Yarrowia lipolytica: one gene and its partners. The protein of the gene in region 1 purifies or fractionates together with the protein of each later gene. This does not show direct contact. Links are inferred from orthologs where the notes say so. Each region holds a gene or a part of one and is shown in the gene's direction. Other genes may lie near its edges. The genes, in order: YALI1_D14125g, YALI1_D21076g and YALI1_B16110g.

Evidence for each region.
Region 2: the proteins of YALI1_D14125g (region 1) and YALI1_D21076g purify together in Saccharomyces cerevisiae (affinity purification with mass spectrometry; 3 studies listed by BioGRID). This does not show direct contact. The link is inferred for Yarrowia lipolytica from reciprocal best matches to the Saccharomyces cerevisiae genes NOP9 and NOP56.
Region 3: the proteins of YALI1_D14125g (region 1) and YALI1_B16110g purify together in Saccharomyces cerevisiae (affinity purification with mass spectrometry; 3 studies listed by BioGRID). This does not show direct contact. The link is inferred for Yarrowia lipolytica from reciprocal best matches to the Saccharomyces cerevisiae genes NOP9 and MRD1.

The regions. Positions count from the first base shown.
Region 1 is NC_090773.1:1,410,394-1,416,305, forward strand, and holds YALI1_D14125g (uncharacterized protein), read left to right. Parts: upstream 1-2,113; coding exon 2,114-4,288; downstream 4,289-5,912. Other genes in the region: YALI1_D14104g (uncharacterized protein), read left to right, coding at 18-1,883; YALI1_D14156g (uncharacterized protein), read right to left, coding at 4,616-5,287. UniProt on the Saccharomyces cerevisiae protein: RNA-binding nucleolar protein required for pre-rRNA processing. Component of the 90S pre-ribosome involved in production of 18S rRNA and assembly of small ribosomal subunit. Component of the pre-40S ribosome required for release from the nucleolus.
Region 2 is NC_090773.1:2,104,548-2,109,817, reverse strand, and holds YALI1_D21076g (uncharacterized protein), read left to right. Parts: upstream 1-2,184; coding exon 2,185-3,717; downstream 3,718-5,270. Other genes in the region: YALI1_D21044g (uncharacterized protein), read right to left, coding at 4,029-4,850. UniProt on the Saccharomyces cerevisiae protein: Required for 60S ribosomal subunit synthesis.
Region 3 is NC_090771.1:1,608,255-1,614,818, forward strand, and holds YALI1_B16110g (uncharacterized protein), read left to right. Parts: upstream 1-2,833; coding exon 2,834-5,320; downstream 5,321-6,564. Other genes in the region: YALI1_B16087g (uncharacterized protein), read right to left, coding at 1-536, 660-684; YALI1_B16158g (uncharacterized protein), read right to left, coding at 5,691-6,564. UniProt on the Saccharomyces cerevisiae protein: Involved in pre-rRNA processing. Required for maintaining steady-state levels of 40S ribosomal subunit. Required for the initial processing of pre-rRNA at the A0 to A2 sites, leading to the processing of the 23S pre-rRNA intermediate to the 18S rRNA.

The DNA.
Region 1 (5,912 bases):
TACAAGTAGGCGAATAAATGGTTCGAGGGTATTATTTGAGAGGACAATTACCCAGATCAACACACACATCACCCCCAACCCATCTCTATCACCCGTTTAGACACCCATTTCGCACCATCTCTGCCGCCCTAACCCTCAAAAAAAATCGAAGACTATCGAATGCACACGGTACCTGTCTTAACTACAACTACACCATAATGTCGAATCTCAAGCTACCTACCGCCCCCAATGCGGGCCTGTTCAAGCAGGGATACCAGACATCCAATGCCGAGGACGGCGCCGTCCAGCGAAACATCCAGGCCTGTCGAGAAATCACCGGCATGGTTCGAACCTCTATTGGACCCTGTGGTCGAAACAAGATTGTGGTCAACCATCTTGGCCGAATCTTTCTGACATCTGATGCCGCCACCATTCTGCGGGAGCTCGAGGTGATTCACCCTGCCGCCAAACTCCTGGTCCAGGCCTCCCAGCAGCAGGAGCTCGAGTGTGGAGATGCCACCAACTTGGTTCTGACTCTGGCCGGCTCGCTTCTCAACAAGGCCGACGAGCTCATTCGAATCGGACTGCATCCCTCCGAAGTGGTCCAGGGCTACGAGCGAGCCAAGGGTCTGGCGCTGATGGAGCTGGAGACCATTGCTGCCGAGACCACTGCCAACGCTGAGCTGGCCAACGGAGACACCGCCCAGGCTCTGGTCACCTCGCAGCTGCTGGCTCGAGCCGTCAAGACCGCCGTGGCATCCAAGCAGTACGGCCACGAGGCAATCATCTCGCGATTGGTCACCGAGGCTGTCCAGCATGTCATGCCCAAGAACATCAAGGCTTTCAACGTGGACGCCATCCGAGTCGTCAAGATCATGGGCGCCTCTCTGGGCGCATCCCAGGTCATCAAGGGTATGGTTTTCAACCGGGAGCCCGAGTCCACTGTGAAGAATTGTGGCAAGGCCAAGGTTGTTGTTTTCTCTACCCCTGTCGACATCTCCTCTACCGAAACAAAGGGTACTGTGCTGCTCAAGTCTGCCCAGGAGATGCTCAACTTCTCCAAGGGTGAGGAGGCCCAGGTCGAGACCATGGTTAAGAACATTGCCGACTCCGGCGTCAAGGTGGTCGTCTGCGGCGCTGGTCTCGGAGACTTGCCTCTGCACTACATGAACAGAATGGGTCTGATTGCCCTTAAGGTTCCCTCCAAGTTTGATCTGCGACGACTGTGCCGAGTGGTTGGCGCCACTCCTCTCGCTCGAGTCGGAGCTCCCCTTCCCGAGGAGATGGGCACTGTCGATGTGGTTGAGACCATTGAGATTGGAGGCGACCGAGTCACCGTGCTCCGACAGGAGGACGAGGCGACCCGAACCGCGACCGTTGTGGTTCGAGGTGCTACCCAGAACGCTCTCGACGACGTGGAGCGAGCCATTGATGACGGTGTGTCTGTTGTCAAGTCCATCTCTAAGGATCCCCGTCTGGTTCCTGGAGCTGGAGCCACCGAAATCCGGCTGGTTTCTACCATTGTGCAGCAGGGCGAGCGAACCCAGGGTCTCATGCAGCATGCCATCAAGGCCTACGGACAGGCATTTGAAGTCCTGCCCGAAACTCTGGCCGAGAACGCTGGTCTGGACGCCATCGAGGTGCTTGCCCGACTCTACGCTGCTCACTCCGAGGGCCGAAACACCACTGGTGTCGATGTCGACGACAACGACAGCACCGGCACCTGCGACGCCTCTGCTGCCGATATCTTTGACTCTTACTCCGCCAAGATGTCTGCCATCGAGCTTGCGACTGACGTGGCCAACACCATTCTCACAGTCGACCAGATTATCATGGCCAAGCGAGCTGGCGGCCCCACCATGCCCAAGCAGCAGTCTATTGGTAACTGGGATCAGGATGATTAAACGGAGTAGCGGATTGGTATATAAAATGAGTTATAGATGCATGTTTGTGATTGAGAGAGCGCGACGTCAGGATTGATCCAACGAGGGTAGTTGCCTCGAGTAAATGATAAGTAATTTTGTTTAATGTGTGAAAAAACCCAAACCTAAATAAACCTCTTCAGTGTGCATTGCAGAAAAATATATTTTCGGTGAGCTAAATTATTTCACAGTATCTACATCTTTGAGAAAGAATGCCTCGAGAAGTCAAGAAGAGAGGAAGACGAGCCGCCGCCAAGCGAGCCGAGGAGGAAAAGGAAGACGTTGACCTTAAGGTCTATGAGAACGACGAAGACTACGTCACTTTTGATGCTGACGGAGGAGTGGCTGGAGGTCATGATGATGAAGAGAACGATGGCTACGACAATGAGACCCCCTACAACCCTCTGGATCTCAAGCAGATGCCATTTTTTGGATTCCTCGATGACCAGGAGTCAGAGTACTTTAAAACCGCCGAGTCCACTTTGGCCGTCGATGCTTTTGGGTCACCCGAAGAGAAGCTGGGATTCATCTCTGGTTTGCTGGACGAGGCTCGAGGAAAAGAGCTTAAGCTGGTGACGAACCAGATTTGCTCCAAGCTCATGGAGCGACTGATCTTGCTGGCCAACGACGAGCAGATCCGGGCGTTGTTTGAGGTGTTCTCCGGCTACTTTGTGGACCTCAGCAGACACAAGTACTCTTCCCATTGCGTGGAGACTCTGCTGGTGCGAGGAGCCGCCATTGTGGAGAAGGAGGTGCTAGACCCCAACTTTGATGGCGACAGCGAGGATTCTATGGAGAAGCGGTTCTTGACCCTTGCAAACGACATGAAGGACTACATCCAGGACCTCATTTCCAACCCTTACGCTTCGCACGTGATTCGAGTGCTGTTGCTCATTCTCGGAGGCCAGACTCTGCCCTCTCCCACAAGTTCCGAGGGCAACTCGTCGGTGCTGCGATCGAAAAAGTCGCGAACCGCCCGACGAAATATTGACATTAAGGACTCGGAGGAGAATGACCGAGCATACCAGATTCCCGGAGCCTTCCACGATGCTCTGGAGGCCATTGTCAGCGGCTTCAGCAAACGACTCAAGCCCACTGCTGCTCGAGAGCTAGCTATTGGACAGGTTTCTTCGCCCGTGGTCCAACTGCTGATTGACTCTGAGGCTACCACTTCTGAGCAGCGACCTCTGTTGAACACCATCTTTGCCGACACCGAAGATCGAGACTCCTCTGAGGAGGCGTTTGTTGAGCACCTTCTGTCCGATGCTGTGGGTTCGCACTTTCTCCAGAACGTGCTTCAGAAGGCCCCTGAGGCCTTTGTCGAGCGACTCTACAGACTGTACATGTCTCAGCGAGTGCAGAAGTTGGTGCGACGAGACTACGCCGGATTTGTCATTGAGACCTGCATGCAGCGTCTTCCCGAGGCCGACGTCCACCACATTATTGATACTGCCATGGGAGAAATTCCCTATCTGGTGGAGAACAACAACCTGACCATGGTTCGAATTCTGCTTACCCGAGCTGCTGCTGCCAACTACAAGGCAACCGACGTTGCCAATGCGGTGCTCAAGACATTTGATACAGACTCCACCGACCCCAAGCTCCTACAGAAGGTGCTTCAGCTGGACGAGAAGAACCCCTACAAACCCCATGAGGCTTCTTCTCCCGGTCTGCATAGATGTCTGGTGCTGCAACAACTGGTGGAAGCTTCTCCCGAGGTGCTTGCTACCGCTTTCGTGGGACTCAACTCTGGCGATGTCGATGTCATCAAGATGGCCAAGCACCAGTCGTACTCGCGTCTGCTGGAAAAGTGTCTGCGGCCGTCCATCAACACGATCGAGCGACGAAAGTTCCTCAACAAGATCAACGGCCAGTGCGTCGATCTTGCCCGAGACCCGTTTGCATCACACGTTATGGACCGGCTTTGGAACTTCACCTACAAGATGAACAACTTTAGAGAGAAGATTGCTAACGAGCTGGTGGCCGACGAAGATCTCAAGGAAAACACATATGGAAAGGCGGTCTGGAGAAATTGGTCGCTGGACAAGTTTCTGCGACGAAAGAGTGACTGGTGGGTGACTCTCCATGCCACTGATGACGCTTTAGCCAAGGAGTACGAGGAGCTCGGAATCCCTCTGGACGCCAAGTCTCTGGCCAATCCTGGACAGAAGCGATTTGGCCGAGGTGGAGCCCGAATCATCACTCGAGGAGGAGGAACTTTCCCTCGAGGAGGAGGTCGGGGCCGAGGAGGTTTCCGAGGAGGTCGAGGCGGGGCTCCCCGAGGAGGATTTGGAGGCTCTGATCGAGGAGGATTCAAGCGAGCCAACGGAGGAGATGGAGAAGACGCCTCTGGAGACCGATCTCGAAAGAAGGTCCGAAACGAGTGATTTAGAAAAGCATTATATAGTTAACGGGATATGGCACAGATATCTGATCAGATACGGAGACGCTTGAGTGGCGTACCTATAAGTAGTCCTCTATAGGCCGACATGTAATACAGTATTTAAACATCATCATCTATCATCTGCTTTTTTTTTTTTCACATTGTCCTCAAATGAGGAAACAAAAAACTAAAATAATATACTGTGTACTGTTTCTCTCTCGATTGGTGGTCTCATGGTTGTCATTTTTTCGCTCATTATTAATTCGGCCTCGAAAAAGAAGAATACCGGAAGTCGTAATGGATTTTGTATCAATAGTCATAGCGGGCACATCTACCAGGCGTTGGTGCCTCGTCGCTCCCGCAGACCAAAGAACCGGGCGAGAGTATCAAATCGCTCAATGGCCTCCGCCTCCGACAGTTCAGCAGACTTTCGGGCGTTCTCCATGGCCTCCTCAAGCTCCTCCTTGCCCAGCACCTCTTGGAGCTTGGCAAGTTCGGCTTCGTCCGGAGGCAGCAGCTCGTAGAACCGCATCCACTGTTCCACCTTGGCATTATCGAGCTTCTTGAACTCTCCCAGGGTCTTGGGGAATACCCAGTCGGGGTGGGTTTCGTCGTCGAGCTCCTGGGCGGGGCACATGCCATCAATTCGGGGCAGCGAGGCAATGAGGTCGGCGTCTTTCTGGGCAAAGGAGTTTGCGGTTCGTCGGATCGACTTAGTCTCGAGGTTGTCGAGCTGGTCCTGGAGTTCGGTCACAAGCACCACGAGATCCTCAGAGGTGACGGCCTGGCTGTCTTCGGACGATGAAGCCTTGTCCTTTTGCGACTGGACTGGCTTGCCTTCCACGTCGGTGATTGTGAGGTTGTTGAGGGCGCCCTTCTCCTGGTTCACCTGGATGGAGAGCACCTGTTTGCCGGTCTCAGCGACCAGCCCGGTGACTTTTCGGAGCTGGGCAGAGAGAAAGTCGACCTCCTTCTTCAGGCTTTCGATTGTGGGCTCGGGCATGGCGGAGGTGGTGCAAAAAGGATGTTTTGGGGGTGTTGTTTGTGTAAGGGAGAGTTGTGGAGATGTCGAAACGCAGTGTCTGGGCGGTTACGGTATCGTGCAGTAGCTAGTTGAGATGCGTCAACTAATTCTAAATGAGCACTGCGCCAAGGTTTCCGGGGATGTCGTTTGTTTCACCGAGCAGGACAAGTCGTTGTGGTAGTACGAGTACGTACGTGCTTGTATACGATGAGTCCGCAAGGTTTGGTTAGAATGAACAAAGAAAATACGATGGCGCGATCTTAAACCTGAGTGTTTCCGATCGGAGGTGCTAGAGAGGCTCTTCAAAGCGCGTGTGCTGCGGGTTGCTGGTTGCAGGCCCTATCTGTTTTGAGGTACAGTACGACACACTGTAACGGTTGTCGGGGTGTAAGAGCTCGTAGTCACAGCCGTTCGATTCGGGGTTGAGTCAATAAAGAGAGCCAAGGGCGTTGTAAAAGAAGGCGGAGGGCGGAGGGCGGAAACAAAACAACATAAGGAGCAGCCGGCAAGATTTATATACAAAGCACTTCTGCTCCAGAGGACAGCTTAGTTGACTCGCGCACAGCAGGGTCTCACTCTTTTTCATTTGTCGCTTTAAACTCGA
Region 2 (5,270 bases), about 690 kb from region 1:
TGAGTGAGGTTTTGGAGGTATATTACACGCGTTTGTGGAGAAGGCGTGGAGAAGGGGTGTCCTTGGAACTGATTACTAAGCCTTTTCGCAACAGTCGGTCTCACTTTCTCAGCTTCAACAGAACCCATGGATATAAGTCCGGTATTATCATATTCCGCACCATCCGCATCATCCAATATGCAGGAATGACATATGAGCGCATTAGCAGATACCGGCACTCAGATGTAGGGATATTGATTCTAGGGTGGGTGAAGTTGCTACAAGTAGCTCTTTCTGTGGTGGACCCCGGAGATACTAGTTATGAAGAGTGGTCATGAAGAGTGGTTATGAAAAGTGGTTACGATGCTTGTTTCTCATACACTAGCTAGTCAAGTATTGATCATGATGGGTATGATGTGAGGGTGAATGGTGAGAATACACTACAGTAGATGATAAGAATGTGTTTCTGTAGCTATTCGCGATCTTCGAATATCACGCTCTTTTCTTCGATTTAATCTTCATTTTCGCTAGTTATTGTGATAATTCGAAGTAGTCGTAGTAAATCAAGTGGCACTGTACCTACCATGGCTTGTACAGGTACTTGTTATGGAATGATCTGAGTGAATCTCAACGGCAAGAGATAACGGATTCTGATTTGCGGGTCACAGAAGGAGATTCTCAACTCTCAATGGGATAGTTCCATAAGAACTTGTACTGTAGCCCATGGGTGTCCAGTTTAGATGCTGTAAGCAGAACACGACGCTCAGTTTCTGCCAGAAACTTGGACGCTAGTTGCCAAAAACTTTTAGCGATGGAAACCCTTTAAAAACTTCTCCAGAACTCTCCAGAACTCTCCAGAACTCTCCAGAACTCTCGTGGTCCTATATGTGCGAATGAACGACCTCCACTCACCGCCATTGGACAGACACAGAGAAGTATGGGGATGGTGAATGTGAACAGGAGACAGTGTAGCGATGAATACGAGATTGGTACCATCTCCAAGATCAGCCGAAAACGTTTCTGTATATCAGCTCCTTTGTTGGATTCCATGCCGACAGTCCACCACAGAAGTTGAACATTCGCTGATGCTACACCTGAATTACCTGTCCCAAAATGGCCAAAAAAAAAAAAAAAAAAAAAAAAAAAAAAAGGACTCTCTTGGGTAATGTGACCAAAATCTGCTATTATTTGCGGAATTTATTAATATTCGGATGTAAAACTGATGCAACAAGTACCCTTCGCCCAAACTGTCCTACAACGAGTGCAAAACTCCTCTATCACAACTACTAACATCGACATGCTACAACACCTCCAAACCTAATCGTATTTTTTTTAGACACCAGGAAGCCTTCGTCAACAGACCCCTGTTTCCCCGAATCTGAGTAGAAAAGACGTAAACCAGGTATTCCAAACTCCAAGATCCCCCAGTAAAAAATTCGCTTCTCGAAGACTGCTCTAAAGGCACATTCACCGTTGCTTGTTGCTGTACCCAGATTGTCAACAGTAACTTTGATCCGAGGTACGTTGTGTGCGATATTGGACGAGCTATAGTCATTATCTCTGAGATCAGAAAGGCTAGAAATAGCTTCTCGAACTTTCAGTATGCCCAAAGATATACCAAAAGCTTTCTATATGTCAATATCTGCTTTTGTCACGCCCAGTCGAAGACGTTATATGCTGGACTCTATCAGATAATGTTTGGGTTGCATCGATCTCTGGTTACTGCTCAGCACGGCCAGATAATGTCGCCATATAGACATAAAACTGATACGGTAAAGATGCCAACCGGCCATTATACATCTGGATCAACCATTTTTCTCATAATATCCATCCATTGCAGTGTAAAAATGGCGACTTTTCAGCCCCTTTTTGGAACAAGTTGCTCGTAGGTCTACTCCGAAGTCGGTCAAACTACATGCCAAACCAATCCGAACTAAACAACACACGCAGCTGAGACCTGTGGCCCAAAATTCAGTGGCACACTCATTAACCCTCTAAACAATAAACATATCACGGCGCCTACTCATAAACGAACCACCACGGCCATTTGCGAACGACCCACTATTGTCCCCCGTCTAGTCTCCACGGCCGGGTAAAAAGGCTATTTTTTTCTGCACAATTTTTTCTGACGCTGCAGGACGTTTAAAAATATTCCTGTCCACTTTTCTCCCAACCACACACTTGTCCAACACCACTACACACACCATGTCGGACCAAATCGACTACGTACTTTTCGAGGAGGCCTCTGGCTACGCTCTGTTCAAGGTGCTGCTGCAGCCCGAGAACATTGGCGCCCGAGTCAAGGAGGTCCAGGAGTCTTGTACCGACTTCAACAAGTTTTCCAAGCTTGTCAAGCTGGTGTCTTTTGCCCCCTTCAAGGGTGCTGCCCATGCTCTGGAGAACGCCAACGATATTTCCGAGGGTATCTGCAACGACCACCTCAAGTCCCTGCTCGAGCTCAACTTGCCTGAGGGATCCAAGAAGAAGAAGATTGTGCTTGGTATCAGTGACAAGAACCTGGGCCAGAGCATAAAGGAGGCTCTCCCCAACGTCGAGTGTGTCTCCAACGAGGCCGTCCACGATCTCCAGCGAGGAATCCGTTTGTTTGGCGACCGGTTCCTGGAGCAGCTTGACTCTGGCGATCTTGAGCGAGCTCAGCTTGGTCTGGGCCACGCCTACTCCCGAGCCAAGGTCAAGTTCTCCGTCAACAAGAACGACAACCACATCATCCAGGCCATTGCGCTGCTGGACCAGCTGGACAAGGATATCAACACCTTCTCCATGCGAGTCAAGGAGTGGTATGGCTGGCACTTCCCCGAGCTCGCCAAGCTCGTCAACGACAACTACAACTTTGCCAAGCTCGCTCTCTACATCAAGGACAAGTCCGAGCTGTCCGAGGACTCCCTGCACGACATTGCTGCCATCGTGAACGACGATGCTGGTCTTGCCCAGCAGATTATCGACGCTTCCAAGATCTCCATGGGCCAGGACATCTCCGAGGCTGACATGGACAACGTTACCACCTTCGCCGAGCGAGTTGTCAACATCACCGACTACCGACGAAAGCTCTACGGCTACCTGTCCGAGAAGATGAACACCATTGCTCCCAACCTGTCCGAGCTTATTGGTGAGGTTGTTGGTGCCCGACTCATCTCTCACGCCGGTTCTCTTACCAACCTGTCCAAGTACCCTGCCTCTACTGTCCAGATTCTCGGTGCCGAGAAGGCTCTGTTCCGAGCTCTTAAGACCAAGGGAAACACCCCTAAATACGGTCTGATCTACCACTCTTCTTTCATCGGCAAGGCCGGTCTCAAGAACAAGGGCCGAATCTCCCGATTCCTCGCCAACAAGTGTTCCATTGCATCTCGAATCGACAACTACTCCGATGTGCCCACTTCCATCTTCGGAAAGGCCCTCAAGCAGCAGGTCGAGGAGCGACTCACCTTCTACGATACCGGAGTTGCCCCCACCAAGAACGTCGATGCCATGAAGAACGCCATGGACGAGGTTCTGGCCAACATGGGCGACGTTGAGGTCGATGAGGACTCTGACGTTGAGATGGATGACGATTCCGACAAGAAGGAGAAGAAGGAAAAGAAGGACAAGAAGGAAAAGAAGGAAAAGAAGGACAAGTCTGAGAAGAAGGACAAGAAGGACAAGAAGGAAAAGAAGGACAAGAAGCGAAAGAGCTTGGGCGGTGATGAGACTCCTAAGAAGAAGAAGTCAAAGAAGGATTAATGTAGTATATATTTAACGGATAATACAAGTGAAGATGCAAAGTTGCATACATCTGGCATGCAGTGAGGGTTGCCAGATGATGTGATTTTGCGACCGTAGAATGAGGGAAGACTGCCACAAGACTGGAATCTGAGAAATGTGATAACACCTACAAGTATCTGACATGTCTCAGGCACTACAGCTGTGCCTGTTTTCATAGGCGGTATTCTCATACAAGTTCACTGAGCCCTTATCAGGTACAATACTAAGACAAATATACTAATTGTGTTGTGGACGCATCGAAACCGCCTCTGCAACGCAGTCATGACCTCCTACAGGTACAGTCCAGCAACGCCATCATCTGCTCTCAACTCCTTCAACGCCTTTGCTGCGTCGAGCCCGAAAACTCCGGCGAGAATTCCAGTCAGGTCCTCGAACGTGTCACTCTGGTATCGCTCGAACGACTGAGTGCCCACATTCTGGACCACTAGTGCTGTGGCAGGCACCTGTGACTGCTGACATCGGGTGAGAACGGCGGCTCCTAGTCCAGATATGAAGTTTGGAGACTGCAGCAGAGGTGTGGAAGCCAGGGGGACGAGATTCGACTTACCCACATCCAGCTGGTGCACATGAACGTCAGCAATGGTGTTACCAGGTGCAAGAATGAGCGCTTGGCAGGGTTTGATTAGATCAACCAACTGTTGAGCAAACCCATGTGCCAGAAGAAGCTCATCCTGCTTGATTTCCACTAGAACCACATCTCCATACTGAACTGGCGATAGGATTACCTTGTGGGAGGTGATCAGCTCTTTAGTGACATCCTCCAGCTCGTCCTCCTCGTCTTCCTCCTCCAAAAAGTCGGTGGTAAACTTGCGTCTGTTTTCTGCGCTCTGGGCATTCTTTTTGAGCTGAATCTCGCCGACAATCTCGCCGAGATTGATGGGTTTCGATTTCTGAGTGAAAAGAGCTTCCACTACAGGAAAGAGTTTTGCTGTGGACACGAGAAGAGTCTGTGGCGAGGTTGGATGAGTGAGAGAGTTGGCGAAGAGCACGGATTTCGTGTAGGGCGACGCTTCCTGGCCGTCTTCAAATCCTTCTTCATGTCCCTCCTCGATAATGTGTCGGGGAGAGTTGACTTGGAGCCATGGTTTGAGCTGGGTTAGAAATGAATGAAAGGAACAGGAAGTGAGGTCATGGATCTGTTATCCCAAGTCACGCAATTGTAATCTGAGAGCACAACCAGATCATTTCGGTGATATGTTATGGAACAAGTCCACACAACAACATAAATGGCACTAAAAAGACGGTCTTTCAAGATCAGCAAAGCAGAAGCTGTTAAAACCCGTGTTCGTGGTCGTCACCGCAGAGTGGAATCAACGTCTGGACATGCGAGACATCACTATCATGACACTCTGACGTAGTAGCATAGCATCAATCACCAAGAGACATGACGTGAACCGGATTCATTCGCCCGAGTGAGTAGCTCATTCAAGAATGAACAGGTAACATGTCATGGTTGGATAGTGTCGGATAACATGCAATGGTTGAATAATGTCGGCCAACCCTCATCTCAT
Region 3 (6,564 bases), on another chromosome or scaffold:
AATACCACGTCTGTGGCGCGGCAGCCGACGATACTGTTCTCGGTGTATGTGAACATGAACCGTTTCCACTTGAGTCAACAGAGTATCTATGTTTCCAGGATTACATAGAATCTTATCTTTCTTGTCAGTATACGAGATGGTGGCGTCGTAGATGTAACTAAGAGCCTGGCCCTTATTCAGTCCCAATATGAAGTCTGCAAAGCTGCTGTGGCGAGGGTAGAGTACATGAGTGAGTTCAGGTGCAAAACACGCTCTGCAGAGCTCTCTATGTCGTCTGATAAGTTGTGGGGTTGCCACCGAGACTTCTGGGAACAGCACCAGACAGTAAGGGTTGATTAGCTTGGCTAGTTCTTTCTCAAGGTCGGCTGCTGATTCGAACATCCAGTTTTCGTCAAGTCGGTAGAAGGGCAGAATCTTGCTGAGGCTAAAGAGAGAAAAGATGTGTTTCCAGGACAGGAATGCAAGGTGCGACTTGGCGCAATGCTGGTTGTTGATTAGTGCGTAGATCATATAGTCGTATCTTGATAGATGATTACCTGTGTTAGTATTTCGTGTCTCGTCGACCACATCATAGGTATCTCACTGATTATCAGCATGTTTCCCTCGGGTATCATTTTGTCGCCGTGCATCTTGATCTTGAAGTTGACCACCTGACCCACCGAGAACATCGTCCACGACCACCATCTTCGAGCCAACATAGCTCTGTAGTGCTTGAGGTTGGGTGATCGGCTAAGACACAGGAGGTAGAGCCATAGGTCCATGACCGAGCCGATAGTGAACATGACCACCAGGATGGTCACCAGCAGGTATTTTCTGGTTTCCAGTTTCATCGATGAAATTATATTGTGTCGGTATCTCTCTTGAAGTGGTGTGAGGTGATGTGGAATAGAATGGTGGTGGGTTGAGGGGTGTTAAAGAAGTGTGGTGAGAGGAGCCGAAAGAAGACGCAACCTGAGACCGAGACCAAGAATCCAATCATTGTGACGAGAGCATCGGGTTGCGTCTAGTGTTGAATGAGTCCTGGATATACATCGTTTATATAATACGTCAGATCAATTAATATCAACACGTATTACATGCCCTTACATCCAACATGTCGTGTATTATCGCATCTGTCTTATCTCCAGGCAGTATCGAAGCACAGTGAACCTTGATTATGGAATACAGTAGCTATGAGTACTCTAGACAAATGGGCTAACCATTAGGGAAACATATCTAGCAGTATACTGTAAATGGTTGAAATGGAATGATTTGACTCTGCTTCTTTTCTTGTCACCCTCACGACACCCACTCGTTCACGTTTATTCGCACTACTGCAGTGACACTCATTGTCTCATCGGAGATCCTCCTGGATGGCCAAGATCGGTCCGAGTGTTACGCATTACTGGCCTCTGTCTTCCTTATGAAGAGACGAACATCGATTTTGAACTAGCTCGATACTCATCTATCTCCCGAACTTGTCAATATCGTTGTAGATTATATCGATCAACATCCTGCGATGCTTTGTCAGCGCGAGCAGGTCTGGACATCTCCGGAACTGTGACCGGAGCCCAGGTGCTACAAGTTTGAGCTAGAAACATATTTGTAGAACCCATTTACAGAACAGGCATTTGAATACATACGATGTCTAATCCCAGGAGTCGGATTCATTTCCAGATTTCAAGACGCGGACGCGACCGAGTTCTGAAGGTACTGGAAGAGACCCAACGGATGGTGCTGACGAATATTGATATTCAACAGAGACCCACGGGTGATGGCGGAAAAAGGGAACTTCTAAAGGCAAGACCCTAATCATAGACTCTATACTCAGATGGTTTCCTTACTCCATACTCAGATGATGGTCCTTTGTACTTGTAGATTCCATAGTTGCTGACACGTGAACGAGTGACGATCGGTCACGTTCAAGCACTCGTCTGATTTTACTAGAGATAGTATCTGAGGTTTCCATAAGCCGCGGATGTATTATGGTTGTTGATAGATATGTGAGTACACTGTAATGTTTATTGTCGATGGTGGATGTGAACAAACTGGCCCTAAGTTACTGTAAGACCGTAAGAGAGCCATGTCTCGATACAATAGCAAAGATGGAATTAAAAAAAAAATGGTTTTAAAGATATAAGGCTGTTGTCTCATTGTACCACGGTCTTTTCCATGATGATAAATACTACTGCCTACAGAGCTGTTTAGACATCTCTTCGGCTGAGAATGTCGTGAGATTTTCAGAGCCAACAAATGAAATAGTTAAGGAAAAGAATTGGTATTAAAGTACTGTATATACCATATCTGCAATTCTAGATTACGATGGTTATCTTCACTTTTTAGGGGTCTGAAAGAGTCAACTTGTGCCAACCAAGAAAGTTGTAGACTCGTTTGAGGTTGACACGGGGATAAATTAGTGACAGAATGTAGAGACAGAAATGAAAATAGACGTAGTTAAATGAAACCTATGGATTTGCTAGAAATGTTTGACGTCTCCTGTTCAATTATATCGATATATCGAGTCGGACCCTTGGAAGGTTGCAGTTCGAGATAAGCTGACTAAGCTTATATCAGAATATCTGTATTCTTATTGCTTTGGAGCAGTAGCCATCTTGAGGGTTTCCCTCTGAGGATATCTAATCCTCAGCAAACCACTGGTACCATTATGTACCTGTTTTCTTATCCTTTGTGTAATAGCTACAGTACTTACAGTAGCTACAGTACATACTTGGACAATTCACTTCCCTCCACAATTCCATATTGTAGACAAAATAAGCTTTCAGCGAACACCTTAACTTTAAAATTTCTAGTATCTTGCAGATGCAGGTGAGGAAAATTTCCCACACACCACAGAATGTCTCGACTGATTGTGAAAAACCTGCCGCCTTACCTCGATGAGGCTGGCCTGAAGAAACACTTTTCCACCGTCAAGGATCCCAAGTCTGCTGGCTTTGCCCCTTCCGATATCACTGATGTCAAGGTGGTGAGAGCTCGAGACGGCAAGACCAGACGGTTCGGATTCGTTGGTTTCCGATCCGACGAGACTGCCGAGGCTGCCGTCAAGTATTTTGACACATCTTTCATCAACTCTACCAAGATCTCCGTGGCTGTTGCCATGACTTTCACAGACCCCAATGTTCCTCTGTCTTCAAGAGAGCGAAAGCGGCAGGCTGCTCAGAGAGCTCGAGAGGACGCTGAGGACGACCGGGAGGCCAAGAAGGCCCGGTATCTCGAGAAGCCTATGACCATTGACGACATTAATGGTTTGGGCAACGCCTCCGATCCTCGACTGGCTGACTATCTGGATGCCATGCAGGTTCGATCTAACGCTAAGACCTGGGCCAACAACGATGCTGGAGCTGTTGCCAACGAGCCTCAGGTGATCCAGTCTACTGCTTCTGATGATGAGTATGACGAGTTTACCGGCAAGGGTGACGACGAGATAGACGAGGACGAGGACGAGGAAGAGGAGAGTGAGAACAAGAAGGATGACGACAATGAGGAGGCCGAGGAGGACGAGGAAGATCCGGTTATTGAAGACGGACTTGCTGCTGATCCTGGCGTTTCAGATATGGACTGGTTGCGACAACGACAAACACGAATCAAGGAGGGGGAACCCGAGGAGGACCGTGAAAACAGACACACCGAGTCCAAGAGCGAGGGCAAGAAAGGAAAAGGCAATGCTCCCAAGGCTGCTACTCCTGTTGATGAGGAGCCCTCTGAGGACCCTACCATTGTGAGCATTAGAAAAACTGGACGTCTGTTCTTGCGAAACCTGCTCTATACAGCCAAAGAGGAGGATTTCCGACAGCTGTTTTCGCAGTACGGAGAGTTGGAGGAGGTTCATCTACCCATCAACACCAAGACTGGCCAGTGCAAGGGATTCGCACACGTGCAGTTTGAGGACCCCGAAAACGCCATCGCAGCGTACGAGGCCCAGGATGGAAAGATTTTCCAGGGCCGACTTTTGCATATCCTACCCGGAAAGCCCAAGAAGGACTACAACCGACTGGACGAGCACGATCTCAAAAACCTGCCTCTCAAGAAGCAGCAGGAGCTGAAGCGAAAGGCCGAGGCTGCCAAACAGCAGTTCTCTTGGAATTCGCTGTACATGAACCAGGACGCCGTCATGGAGAGTGTGGCCAAGAGTATGGGTATCAAGAAGTCCGAATTGATCGACCCAGACTCCAGTGATGCTGCTGTCAAGCAGGCTTTGGCTGAGGCCACTGTTATTGGAGATGTCAAGTCGTACTTTGAGAAGATGGGCGTTGATCTGGCTTCCTTTGACAACAAGGATAGAGATGATCGAGTCATTCTTGTCAAGAACTTCCCCTTTGGAACCACCCAGCCTGAGATTGCTGAGATGTTTTCTGAATACGGAGATCTCTATAAGGTGATGATGCCTCCAGCTGGAACTATTGCTATTGTCATTTTCAAGCACATTCCCGACGCTCGAGCTGCGTTTGCCAAGCTGGCTTTCCGAAGGTTCAAGACTAGCATTCTGTACCTGGAGAAGGGTCCCAAGAACCTGCTTCCTAACGAGAAGATGGAGAGTGATGAGGTTGAGCATGTTAAACAAGACAAGATTGTTACTATCGAGGACAAGCTGTCTGCTTCTGACGTTATGGACACTGGTTCTAACGATGAAAGACCTGCTACTGCTTCTACTTCTGTATTTGTCAAGAACTTGAACTTCAAGACCACCTCCCGTGTTCTCACCGACGCCTTCAAGGCTCTGGACGGTTTCCTGGTTGCTCAGGTCAAGATGAAGCCTGACTCTAAGAACAAGGGAAAGTTCCTGTCCATGGGTTTCGGTTTCGTCGAGTTCTCCTCCAAGGAGGCTGCTGAGATTGCCCAGAAGGCCATGGATGGTCATGTGCTTGATGGCCATAAGCTGCAGCTCAAGATCTCCAACCGTGGCCAGGACGAGGAGACCACAGAGACCAAGAAGGCTATCGATTCCAAGATCCTCATCAAGAATTTGCCGTTCGAGGCTACCAAGAAGGATGTTCAGAAGCTGTTTGGTGCTTTTGGTTCTCTCAAGACTGTCCGAGTGCCCAAGAAGTTCAACTCCGAGTCTCGAGGTTTCGCCTTTGCCGAGTACGTGTCTGCCAAGGAGGCTGAGCATGCCATGTCTGCTCTGCAGGGCACCCATCTGCTCGGCCGACGTCTTGTTCTTCAGTACGCTCAGGCCGATGCTTCTAACGCTGAGGAGGAGATTGAGCGAATGCAGGCTACTGTTTCCAAGCAGGCTGCTCAGCGGTCTTTTGCTGACATGAAGCTGGCAGGTGAAGGTAAGCGACGAGTCGACCTTGAGGGAGAGGACGAAGAGGAGTTTTAGATACATAACATAATGATAGACTGATTTGGATAGTTCAGTTGAGCGTATTGGTAGGTGTTCGGTAACCATGACTGCAAGAAAGGTCGCCTATGTTTAAGGGGGGGACAGCGGAGTCACGGAATCATGACTTATATATTGTCCTCTAATTTATCCCTTTCTTAAGCACCATCTATAATACAGCTGTGCTTATACTGTAACATGGTGCTGACCTCCAAGGTTCCCATCTTCCAAGGTATACAAGTAGAGCGAATCCCAGTTACTGTAAGTTACAAAGCTATAATACAAAAACAGATACCATTCGAGATACAACAAAATATTTGAAAAGATACGAAAATAGGATACCACGAGAATCTAAACAGATACACCCCGTTTAGATCCAGATCTCCTTGGTGATGTTCATTCGCTTCTGGCACTCAAACACAGCAGGAACGGTACCAGACGAAAAGTAGCAGTACATGTTCTTGATGTACTCGGGGTCGCTTCCATCAGGAACAAAGGGACTCTCTCGGTACTCATACTTGAGGTAGTCCTCTCTGCCTGTATCGTTGCTGATAATGTACTGGATAGCGTTGTGCCAAAAAGTGGCGTTGAGAGGAGCTTCTCGAGGCCACTTCTGATCAGGATCATAGACATCTCGGGCAGAGTACTCAAAGATCCACTCGAGCTCCTCATCAGGAGTTCGGGGAGGGTATGTGACTCGAGTAAAGGAGCCGTTGTTCGCAATCTCAGGCTTGTCCATATCAAACTCGAATGTCTTGTGGAGTTGGGCATAATAATTGATGGACTCCATGATTTCAAATGTATCACTGTCAACCTCGTAGTATCTCCACGAGGGGTTGTAGTTGTGCAGAGGAGTGACTGACTGCGAGATCCATCCCACGGTCAGAGCGTTATCGATGGAGTTATCGGTGCCGTTTCCAGCGTAGTACACGTTGAACTGGTCCTCGTGGGTGTGTCCAAAAAATAGAGCGGCAATGGTATGTGGAGCAAATCGGTCAACGATCTGCCGGAACACCTCGGTAGCGTGAGGGAGGGCGTTGGTGGTACTTCCCCCGGTGGGAACGTGGGCGATGATCCAGACCTTCTGGGCGTTCTTCTCAGCCTCTATCAGCTGGTCAACCATCCACTTCATCATTCCAGAAGTGTCGGGAGAGGTGGTGTTCCAGTAGTTGTAATAGTTGGCGTTGTACCAGAAGTTTGAGTCCATTGAGATAACCCGCAGTCCTCGCTTGGTTGTCACTCCG